3 linked regions of the Nothobranchius furzeri genome follow. The protein of the gene in region 1 interacts with the protein of each later gene in a pairwise test. Links are inferred from orthologs where the notes say so. Each region holds a gene or a part of one and is shown on either strand. Other genes may lie near its edges.

Region 1 (4,026 bases):
CAAACATTTATGACGAATGTTTTTTATAATTTAGAATGTTAATCTAGACTGTACATTTATAAAAAATATGAATAAATATGGCAAATAACAAATAAAAAAAATAATATCAGCCCTCTGGGGTCCTGGGTGTAAATCACCGTTTTTGACTCATTTTGGTTTGTCTTTTGTATTTTCTAACAAAAACAATAAATTTTGCCTTATGGGGTATCATTTTTTTCAGAACAACCTGGACTATCTGAATTTATACTTATTTTATTAATTTGGCAATAATGTGCATGCATTTTGGAGTGGGGAGTGGCTCTGTCTCACGCCGCGGAGATCGAGATCTGACAGCTGCGCGGCGCCGCCCACTCCTCTTGTTGGATCTCCGAGGAGCTGGATCTCTGCCTTCATCCTCTACCTCATCATGACCCAACTCTTCTATGAGGAAGGATGGATCTGCCACATCGTCATCAACATCCTCGCTATTTGCTTCAGACTCCGGCTGCGAGTCTCCGTCCACTTCCTCTGCTTCCAGTTCAAAAAACAGCCGAACTGCCTGGTGGACATTTATCCTTCTCACCATCCTTTATATAAGCCTAATAAAAGCCTACTAAACTGCAGAGACAACATATCTGTCCGGATCGCTCCAAAATATGAAGTTTACCATCAATATCTGTCTAACTGTTTGTTGTTACTCCGTTCGCGCCACTCCGTTCCCCGCCAAGCGGCTCCTTTTTGCGCACATCTCGTTACTCGTGCGGCCTTCCTCTCTCTCTCAGCTACATGATGATACTTTTTATCAGTTGAATATGTGAGACTTCCAGCAACAGCAAAAGGATCTCATGTTTTTGTGGGTTTTTTATGTTCACAAGCACATTCCCTCTCACGGATTACTAAACTGCTGTTTGACAAGTTATCAGATTGTCTAAAAAAAGGTCATTTTTTAGTTTAGTTTAACTCCGCTTTTACGTTGCTTATTAACACAATTTAAAAACTGGGGTGTAGTTTATAATCTCCTTTTTAAAGCTGAATTGAAACGGAAACTCAGGGAGGCGGAGTCTTGCTGCTACAGCGTCCCAAATCAGACCTGTTCAAAAGACGCGGATAAGCGTCCACGGACCCCAGAGGGTTGAAGACAAATGAGTCAAAACTTCAAAGCAGCCCTAAGAACTGGGATTGTGGAAGTGTCCACACACCTGAAGCTCCTTGACTCTGTGGATCAGGGGGTCATATGCAAGCGACACCTCTGCAGCAGCTTTATCCAAAGCCTCCAGGTAGGCGTGTTTCTTCCTGGCCAGTATTCCCTCCAGCACAAGAAAAAACTGATCCACTTCCTGTTTGTCCTGCCTCACTAGAGCCTCACAGCGGGCTTTGTCCTGCTCCAGCTGCTCTGCCAGGTCACACACCTAACCAACAGCCACAAGACGTTAGACGTATTAATCAAAACAAAAACGGCACAGAATTCCTGCTCCCAAACCCCGACGCCCACCTGCGCCCATCTCTGCTCCGAAAGTCTGGCGAGCAGCAGCGATGGAGTCTGTTTTTCTTTGATGAAGGCGGCCTGAAGGTCATCTATGGGATGTCCCTGATGCTGCCCGACGGTCAGACACAGACCACAGATCAGCTGCCGATCCTGGATGCAGTACATGTTCAGAGGTTGTCTGTGGTGCTCCTGGCAGGACGGGGGTCGAGGCGCATTGTTCGTCTGGTACTGAAAGTAAAAAGAAACAAGCCCGTCAGAAGGATTTCAGACAAACGGGAACAGACGGGCCAGCCTCTCCTACTTTCTCAATGATGGCCCGCAGGGACACATTGGTGGGCAGAGCATCTACACCCATCGGGGGCAGCTCCACCACGCTGCAACAGTTGGGACACTTTATAGGCAGGCGGAGGGGACGCCAGGTGGAATAGTTGGTGGACACCTGCAGCAGGCTGTCCAGGCAGGTCTTGCAGAAGGTGTGAGAACACGGCAGGACCCGCGGGTCGCAGAACAGAGAGTAGCACACAGAGCACGTCAGGTCCTCCTCAAGGGTCTCCATGACGGATCTAGAGGACTCTGGTGGAACAAAGTCTGTCACTTCTGCAGGATGGTTCCTGTTGGACAAAAATTATAATAATTCACAACAGATAACAAGCTTTATTTGGAATTTACCTAAAGATCTGACTGATTAATGCTCAAAGAATAAAACAAATACCTGAAGGAAACACTACGTGATGTTTCTCATGTCTCATTATTGTTAGTGCTGCTCACACTGGATCAGGATCTTATTACTTATTACAATGACCACCCCCTCTCCTCGTTACACACACACACACACACACACACACACACACACACACACACACACACACACACACACACACACACACACACACACACACACACACACACACACACACACACACACACACACACACACACCAGAGCCCAGAGCCAACAGTGGTGTCTCGGATCAAACCATTACCTGTGGCCTGTGGGATGAGTTTAAAGTGTCCAGATAGTTTGTGCTTCCTTTTTTCTTTCTTTTAGCCCAAAACTGGCACTCTCACGCGGCGGGGAGGCTTAAAGACTACTTTAAAAGCAACATTCGTAAATTTGATCAACTATTGCGATACACAGTCTTTTTCTCGTGAGGTGACACGACGCAAATCACCTTAAAATCCGTCTTCCCGAAGTTTTTAGACTCACCGCGGTTCTGCTCGGCCGTGTAGCGTTTGTCCCAAACAGCTTTCATTTCCCCTGATGGTGCTGCCTTCAGGTGCATCCAGTAAAGTCCAGCAACACGAGCTTAAACAGGAAATAAAACGTCTCACCTCATTTCTGGTAAAGCTGTCTAGTACTTTATTAGTTTTTGGGACCAGAATAGTTTAAGATGCAACTTCTCTTGCCACCGTAAGATTTTACTTTTGGAAAAAAAAGTCTTCCATTGTAAAATGTGGAAGTTTTAGTTTTCCGGTAGTTCCTAACGCACAGTTTCTCGTTCTGCTTGTGCGCATGCGCTCGATCTGTTGCTCAGGCCAATCAGGTCGCGTCGTTTTCCAGTTTAAATTCAGGCCCAACAATTAGGAGAAAGGGAGGCGTCAGGAGGAAAATGCACTAGAGGATTAATTATACTTCATTTCACAACAGAACTGTCTCTCTCACTCACTCTCTCTCCCACACACACACACACTTTTGGGTTTGTGTTTCACTATTTATTTTTCTTAAAGACAACTTAGCCGGTAGCCAACATCCCCTGAAAGGTTTTATAGGCTTTTTCTATTCCTTCCAGGTCATAATTTTTGATTTGAAACCACTTTGCTAACAAGGAATGCTGCAAAAAAATAAAATAAAACAAAAAAGTACCCCTATGTTCAACAAAAGGTTTTGAGCACAATGTGTAATCATCACTAGTGTTTGAAGTGAACAGAAAAATAAACATGAGGGTAAGCTTGTACACTTAGCTTGTAGGAGCAAAAAAGGGCTAAAGACTCTGCAAGGTACTACAATTACAGCAAACCTGTTCATGGGTTTATTTACGATTCAGGAAACCCCCATTAGAACATCTCCAGTCTGACGCATGGGACACCTTTGACCGTGAACAGGGAGGTTAAATCCCCTTCCAGTGAAGCTGAGATACATTAGATTCACTACCGCTGCTCCTGAAATAAACTCATTATTGTCTCGAGTATCACTAAATGTTATCATTGGATCATTCCAGAAAACACAGACTGTGGCTGAGTGATGCTTAAATGTAAGGGTGTCTGGGCAGGTCAAAACATATTAAACCCACCAGCAGCAACACCTTCAGAAAGACTTCAGGCCTCACTTTGCAATACATGTGCAAAACAATAATTATTTAGCAAACCGGACAACAGTGAGGAGTCAGGGAAAGGGAAACATGTAACATTTAAGCACAGCTTTACTTAAAATAAAAAAATTACACTGTATTCACAGCCTAAGGGAACTAAAATACCCTAAAAAATAACTGTGCTGTTGTTTAGTACATGCAAAGGGGAGGATTCACAATTCTACGCAGGATGGCCGTGGTTTTCCTCTCCTGT
Region 2 (3,617 bases), on another chromosome or scaffold:
GCAGTCTGAAGCAGCTAATCTGCAAAACTTGACAACTTCATAAATATTATGCAATATTGTTGCCCATCAAACCTTCAATTTCAGGCCTGTTGGGACAAACAGCAACAAAACAATATTTAAAGCTACAGATTAGTGCTGATGGCTGATGGATCTTGTTGCATATAAAATACATTTGTGGACTCAAATATATCTTAAGTAGCAACAAAAACATTAAGAATGTGTTTCTATAATTTTCTGCAATAATTCAATAACATGTGGAGAGGATGGTGACGCGACACTGCCATTATTTAAATGTGAAAATGAAAGGCTGATCACATGTCTTATCAGAGGTTGAACAGAGCCAGTGATGTTGGCAGAAAGCTCCAACACAGGTGCTGATCTCTGTGTTTGGGTCTTAATGTTGAATTATCCTAACAAGCTCACAGCTGAGGCAGGAGAAACAGGTCAAAAACACAATGTCTGTGGATCATTTATGGGACAATAAAGGTATTATTGATGAAAAGCAAATTGTCTTCATGCTCAGTCAAATAAACTGAATGTGAGCTAGAGAATAGTCAGAATTAATAAACGTCTGCTTTTGTTTTGAAGGTACAATCCTTCATTGTGAATCTACTGAAAGTCAACAGTTAAAAGCAGTTTCATATCCAAGGTGATTTCATCTTCTTTGTGATGGTGTAATCCTCCTATAGCAGCTGACATCTCATCCTAGAAGAGTATTTGAAGCTGGAATGCCACCTACTGGAACACTGCTTCCTGCACTTTTACCAAACTTAATCAGGAGAAAGACTAAAGTCTTTTTTTACATTTGTATTTCTATTTACTACCATTTAGAATGACATTTCTAGACTTCTTATGCTTTTGTGACAGTTGAAATTTAAAGATAAATAATATGATGGCCTTTTAAACACACTGTAGTATACTCACCCAACACTATAATCATAAAAATAGCAATGTGCTGTTTAATTTTAGGTTTAATCTGGTGAATTTCAAGAGTCTACTTGCTTTATATGAAGAAAAAATATCTTAAAAGTCTTGTAAACAATATAATTTACTGTAGATTGAAAAAAAATCCCACCACAGTAGGAGAAATAACTGAGAATTATTAAAAATATATTTCTGGAAATGTTTTTTTCAATTTATAAGAAGGAAAATAAAAGAGTACATTTGTATTAAGATCATTTATTTTCTGCAATTGTAGCATCAAACCTTCAGGATTTATTTTTTCAGTGAAAAGATACAAAATTATTAGATTATTGAAATCTGAAGGGAAACATGAGATTATGACGCATCCAGACCAGCAGGGGGCGGTAGATAAATGACACAGCCCTGGTGACGTTTCCCGTGAACACCTCTCAATAAAGACATCATCTTGAGAGGCTGCAGGGCTCCGTGGTGCTGAAAGGACAGCTCCTCTGCTCTCAGACATCTGAAGGTAGGCAGATGTGTCACCCTGGAGAAAACCTAACGGGAATAAAACCACCGACTTTACCAAATATTTAGATTTATTCTCCAAATAATCAGAAAACACAAAGGAGGCGTTTGTCATCCACGGAATTGAAATGCTGTTAATTGCGGAAATTCCCTGCGTTTTAGATTGACGGGTTACGATGTAGGTTTAGATGCGAAGTTTTAGATGTAAATTGTGTTTTTAAACATCCTCGTTTGCTTCAGGTTAGCAGATCTCTGAAACAAGGATGGGATATTCTTGGAATGGCCCCTGAGAGTCCCTTGACCCCAATTTGCACAGAAATGAGTTCTCATCAGCTGATTTGTCTCCTCTGTTTTTCTCTCTGTCTAATTAAAGCATAAATTCAGTTTTCTGGTAGCAAAAATAAATAAAATAAAATAAAATAAAATGCGGGTGAAGTCAATAATTCAAACCAGCAACAAATAAAACACTTTTAAAAGGTCTGTGATCATATTTTAAATCATATGTTAAAATATAATTTCCTGCCTAATTTGTGTTTTTTATTCTCACAGAAATGTTCAGCAGAATGTTCAAGCTGAGGCTGCTCAACGCTGTGGCGCCTGCTTACTTCTTCACAGCCACCGTGGCCACCTTTATTCTATACTTCTACCTCTTCATCCCAACAATCTTCCCCAACCCAGATCTCTCCCTGAGGAGCTCCACAGCCCTCCACACCGCTGCCTTCCTGTTCCTGATGTTCAACGCTTTGGGGAATTACGTAATGACTATTAAATATCCAGCAGAAAGTGCCAATGAGACCGTGGTTCCGTGCTCCCCACACTGCTCTGATAACGTGGACGCTCACTACCTCCTGAACGGCCGCCACTTTTGTAAACTGTGCAAGAAAGTGATTCTCAAGAGAGACCACCACTGTTTTTTCACAGGAAACTGCATCGGCAACAAGAACATGCGCTACTTCATCATGTTCTGCATCTATACATCATGCACATGCCTGTACTCCTTGGTTCTGGGTGTTGCTTTTCTCACTGTGGAGTACTCCATCTCCTTTGAGAACCCGCTGACCTTTCTAACTCTTCTCCCTCTCTCTACTGGTTACTTCTTCATGGGTGAGTTCACCAAATCAGAAAGATGATGATTTCCTTTGTTTTGGCATTCATTCCTCCACTCTCTCCCTCACACACACAGGATCCATCTCAGGCCTGCAGCTGTTCCTGGTGCTGATGCTGTACGTGTGGCTGGGCATTGGCTTGGTGAGTACCGGTTTCTGCTGCCAGCAGGTGCTGCTGGTGGCTCGAGGACAAACCTGGTGTCAGCTCCAAAGAGGGGATCTTTTGGAAAACCGCACCCCGTGGAGAGCCAACCTGAAGGATGTTTTTGGCAACCGCTGGATGATTGGCCTTATTTTGCCCGTGCAGACAGTGGAAACGTCCTCTGAAGACACAGATGGACAAAAACAAGACTGATGGACAGCAGTGAATTTAGACTATAGGGTCAAACAGCAACATATCTTGTAGAAAATGCTGTTTTTTAGGTGATAAAATGTCAACATAGATGCTTTGTGATGCTTTTTCAAGTAAAACTAGCTGAGAGCACAGTTTTATTGACGACATGAGTCACATAAGCGACAAAGTAAGTGCACACGACTATATTCATAGAGTCGCTTTTAAAAAGGTAAGATTATTTACAAACTAAGCCTATACAAGTTAACAAGTCAGGAAAAACTGCCGCTGAAACTTGAAAATGAGAATATGGTGCAAAAATCCATTTATTTCAGTAATTCATCTTAGACTGAGAGACCATCTAAAGGCTCAGGTACCCTTTGCAGTTGTTTTGGATTAACCAGCTGATTAGTGTGACACTTTGAGTTTAGAATACCGACAATATTCTAATTGACAGAGATTTTGGGAGTCTGTAAGCCATAATCATCACAATTAAAACAAGTAAAGACTTCAAATAATTGTCTTAGCCTGTAATTAGTCTATCTGATTAGTTTCACTTTTTAATTGACTTACTGACATAAATGAACTTTTGCACCACATTCTAATATTTCAAGTTTCTCCATATCTGTTCTCGAAGCATTGATAAATGGCTTTGCATGCCTTTGAAGCTTTCTATCATGTTACGATTCACTCCTTTTATAAAGATTCAACAACGTGTTATCCAGGGAACTTTATTAAGGGCTACGATG
Region 3 (4,039 bases), on another chromosome or scaffold:
GGCTGGAAAAAGGAACACTGAAAAAAAATGTATATGCTCTCCATGGGTGAACAAGTTCAGGCTTTTGTTGTGTGAAATCTAAAAATCTTTTTTGCGTTTAATATTCATTCGAATCTATTTGTTTATTAATTTGTCATTTTTACAAACGTTTAGGTTGAGGAAACCCAACACACGTACTCGCATAACAACACACAGATAATTTAATTTACACTTATGAATTTGCTGCAAATCTGCAGGCTGCATGATTGCAAAAAGACAAGACAAATCATAGTGTAATAAATAAATTAGCTGCACTGGTGTAGCACCTTCTTGAGTCAGAGGTCTCCAATACATGGTACAGTGTATCCTTCATTTGTACACACCCTGGTGGCAATGAGCTACAAGCCAGAGCTGCACTGGGCGCCATCATTTCCTCCAACTTCAGGGTTTATTTCAAGATCGTGTTTCTGGTCTATAGGGCCTTACATGGACAAGCGCCATCTTACATTGGTGATCTTCTTAGTCCCTACACCCCCAGCAGGGACCTGAGGTCCAGTGATCAAAGCCTACTGGTTGTGCAGCACCAGGCTAAAGTCCAAAGGTGACAGATCATTTGCTGCTGTGGCCCCCAGACTCTGGAACTCTCTCCCCCTGAGCCTGAGATCTGTGGACTCCTTTAAAAAGCAGCTGAAAACTCACTTGTTCAGGCTGGCTTTTGTGTGACCTTCATCACCCTCTCCCTGTTCTGCTCTCCCTGCCTATTCCACCTTCCATGAGGATCCACTGATTTCCCTCTTTCCTATTCACTCTCTCTCTTTCTCCACATTTTTAATCACAATTGTCTATTTTTTGTGCATTTTAAATATATTTTAATAATTTTCTAAATTCTTTTTTATATTGTTATATTTTGTGAAGCACCTCTTCTTCTTCAACCACCACCAGCTGCTGGGGAAGGTTGGGTGTCTTGCCCAGGGACGCTTCAACGGGGTTCTCTGTCAGGACCTGTAATGGAACCTGCAACTTTCCAATTACTGAACCTTCTGTTCTACCCTCTGAGCTGCCCCCTAATTTTTTTTTCTTAACTGCATTTTTTGTGTGTGTGTTGGAGCAGTGAAAAGCTTTACAGCACATGGTATTCCAAGCGGTCTCCCATCCAACTACTGACCAGGTTCTAGCCTAGATTGCTGTCGAGATCGGGCGTACTTTAGGGTGGTAAGGTCGTAAGCAATATCTAATTTCGTTTAAAACCTTATTTTCTACTTTTCTTCATAGGCTTTCACTTATTTCTGCTGCCGTATATGGCATTTGCTCTGTTTGGAAAAGTTCAAAACAAGGTTCTTCACGACGCTTTGAAACCAAGAGTTAGATGGGCAACAGCGCCCTCGTGTCGCACAAGCACTTCAACACCGGAACTGTGGAAGTGACATGAAGAGGAGTTGATTGAAATGGCGTCAGTCACTATACGCAAGTGGGGGCTCTGCGCGGTTTCCCTGCTAAACTTGTTGTTTGTCTTCATATCCGGAGCAGATTTCATTCGGTTTTTGTCGTTTCGAGCAATTTATCATAACATTACAGGGGAGACGAGACTCTGTCAAGGTAAGCGACAGATGGTAGCCTGGAAAGTTAACGCACTGTTCAGAAATAACATTTAAACTCACATTTACGGCTGTTAAGCAAATTCAGGTATGGAGAAATTATATTCAACTTCAGTAAGCCTGGACGAAACTATTCAGTCACTATGATAATGTCTACTGTGACTGTGTGTCCCCACAGCCCGGCTAGCTCAGTCGGTAGAGCATGAGACTCTTAATCTCAGGGTCGTGGGTTCGAGCCCCACGTTGGGCGATAGCCTTTTCCTTTATTCTTGAAAATTTACTGACATAATTTTATATATCTGTATGAGTAAATTCATCATATATGCAGCAAATGCATTTTGATACATAACATGTGCCTCTAGTTTTGTTGTAATAATTTTGATTTAATCTTGATTAATACTACCTAAATGAAATGACTATTTATAAAGTGTTATTTGTCTCCATTAAGACTCCATACCTTGGTCTGTGGCTCTGAGGGACAGCTCGGTGCATTGGTCTCTAGCTGTGGATGTGTGTTTAGTGGCTCTTTTCACTGCACAACACAGCCTGCTCGCCTGGTCTCCGGTCAAACAGGTCCTACAGTCAGCTCTGGGAACCTTAAACAGGACGTTTTACTGCTTCACTACTGCACTTGCTCTGCAGGTACACTAAAAGTACTGAAAATATATGCTTTAATATTCTAGAACAACCATAATAATATGCTAACTGCAGTGATGGACAGATTATACATTGGTTGGAATAAAATCACAGGTGAACTAAATGCCCCACAATTGAAATAATTTAATAACCCCTAATTTACAGATGTGCCATTAATTTCTATAGGAAGTATTAATCTTAATCACCTGCATACTTTATAACTACATAATCATTTACTTTCCTGTGTTAGGTCTTGATGCGTTACTGGCAGACAGTGACTGGCGCTCCCTGCTTGTGGTCGGTGCGTATTGCACCCTGGAGTGTCTGGTTCCCCCTGCTCTGCTTTTCTCTACACTTCCTCTGCTGGTCCATCATCTGTAGCATCCTCATGATTTTTGATTACCCAGAACTACTGGGCATCAAGCAGGTGAGAAAGTCATGTATCAAAGAAACATGTTAGATATGTTTTTTTCCTCAAGCAAATGATTAAGACAGTCCTAGAATTTAAAACTACATTTAAATTGTTGTTATGAAGCTTGGGGTGTCTAATGTAGCATTCCAAAGAGTTTGTGCGGCCTGGTTTAGCACAAACTCTTTGGTATGCTACATTAGACACCATAAGCTTCATAACAAAGCTAATGCTAATGCTTGCCCTACCAACTCATAAGGCTATCCTGACTACCGCTAATGCTAACTAAACCTATCGCTAATGCTAGCCCAAGCTACTGCTAATTGTCTTATTGGATGAGAGGAAAACAACAAAGAAGAATGCTGGAGCACCACTCATGTTCCAGAATGTACTGGTGGTATCCAGGCTATGAATGGATCCCAGATACATCCATAGGATGGGATCCAAATGCTCGTCTTCATTCCTCCACAAGCCCTCTCATCTCAACATCAGTTGGTTTATTTTCATTCATCTCCCAGTGTGGACCTCAGCCGGGCCAACACTCACTCTGGGGTTGTATTTGGCCATTTTTCTGGGCTCCTGTGCCATTTTGAGCTCCAACAAAGTTTCGTAGAACTGTTTTCAATTGTAAAAAAGTGTTCTAGTACACCTTTAAAACCATAAAACCCTGATTATACCTATTTCTTGGCTCTTTTAGGTGTACTACAAGAGTCTCGGTTTAGGAGACCCCTTGTCTCATAAATCACTTCCTGCTCAGCGACTCCTGTCCCACTTCCGCCACCCAGTGTTCCTGGAGCTGGTGGTCATCCTGTGGCTCCTGCCGGCCCTGTCCCTGGACAGGCTTCTGCTGGCGGGGATGCTGTCCACCTACATGGCCCTGGCTCACTCGCTGGACAAACTGGATTTAGCCTACCTCTGTACGCAGTTTAGAAACAAGGTGCACCTCATTGCAGAACAACAGCGAGGCAGCGTTGATGCCACAATAGACCAGAACAGCAGCAATCACATGGAAAAGTGATCTTAATATTAATTTCAACTTTAACTGCAGCTGTAGTCTAAAGCGAGGCGGCAGTTTTTGTCACTTTGTATGTGACAAAGTGGAGAGTTGTGCCATTTAAAGGAAGTGCTGCATTTTTTTTTATAAACGTTTACGTTGCCTGGAACTCAGAATGTGTTTCTGTGTTTTCGTTTAAACTCAGTCTCATTTAAACACAGATTTCACACTGGAAACGCCCTAGTTTGTCACAGCTCGATTGAGAAATCACTAATAAAATGTAAAGGCATTTCTTTTACAATTTATGCAACAGAATTATGGACGCTCATGTGTCTGGTCTAATGTGACAAACTGGGTTAATATTGTCATTGATAAATCAGGAACTTGAGTTTATGTTGTTTTATTTCACAAGTTTCTCTAATTTTC

The links.
Region 2: the proteins of trim59 (region 1) and zdhhc22 interact in binary tests that used the Homo sapiens proteins (3 or more experiments, as listed by UniProt). The link is inferred for Nothobranchius furzeri from reciprocal best matches to the Homo sapiens genes TRIM59 and ZDHHC22.
Region 3: the proteins of trim59 (region 1) and nrm interact in binary tests that used the Homo sapiens proteins (3 or more experiments, as listed by UniProt). The two-hybrid records come from large-scale screens. The link is inferred for Nothobranchius furzeri from reciprocal best matches to the Homo sapiens genes TRIM59 and NRM.

What each region holds. Positions count from the first base shown.
Region 1 is NC_091753.1:52,625,755-52,629,780, forward strand, and holds the start of trim59 (tripartite motif-containing protein 59), read right to left. Parts: upstream 2,801-4,026; 5' UTR 2,672-2,800; intron 2,613-2,671; exon of another isoform or gene 2,448-2,612; intron 2,077-2,447; 5' UTR 2,022-2,076; coding exon 1,767-2,021; intron 1,694-1,766; coding exon 1,472-1,693; intron 1,389-1,471; coding exon 1,179-1,388; intron 1-1,178. UniProt on the Homo sapiens protein: E3 ubiquitin ligase involved in different processes such as development and immune response. Serves as a negative regulator for innate immune signaling pathways by suppressing RLR-induced activation of IRF3/7 and NF-kappa-B via interaction with adapter ECSIT.
Region 2 is NC_091758.1:32,272,988-32,276,604, reverse strand, and holds zdhhc22 (palmitoyltransferase ZDHHC22), read left to right. Parts: upstream 1-1,319; 5' UTR 1,320-1,432; intron 1,433-1,980; 5' UTR 1,981-1,982; coding exon 1,983-2,535; intron 2,536-2,614; coding exon 2,615-2,892; 3' UTR 2,893-3,117; downstream 3,118-3,617. UniProt on the Homo sapiens protein: Palmitoyltransferase that could catalyze the addition of palmitate onto various protein substrates and be involved in a variety of cellular processes. Catalyzes the palmitoylation of KCNMA1, regulating localization of KCNMA1 to the plasma membrane.
Region 3 is NC_091759.1:8,213,592-8,217,630, forward strand, and holds nrm (nurim), read left to right. Parts: upstream 1-1,239; 5' UTR 1,240-1,424; coding exon 1,425-1,575; intron 1,576-1,751; exon of another isoform or gene 1,752-1,824; intron 1,825-2,022; coding exon 2,023-2,216; intron 2,217-2,460; coding exon 2,461-2,637; intron 2,638-3,316; coding exon 3,317-3,637; 3' UTR 3,638-3,839; downstream 3,840-4,039.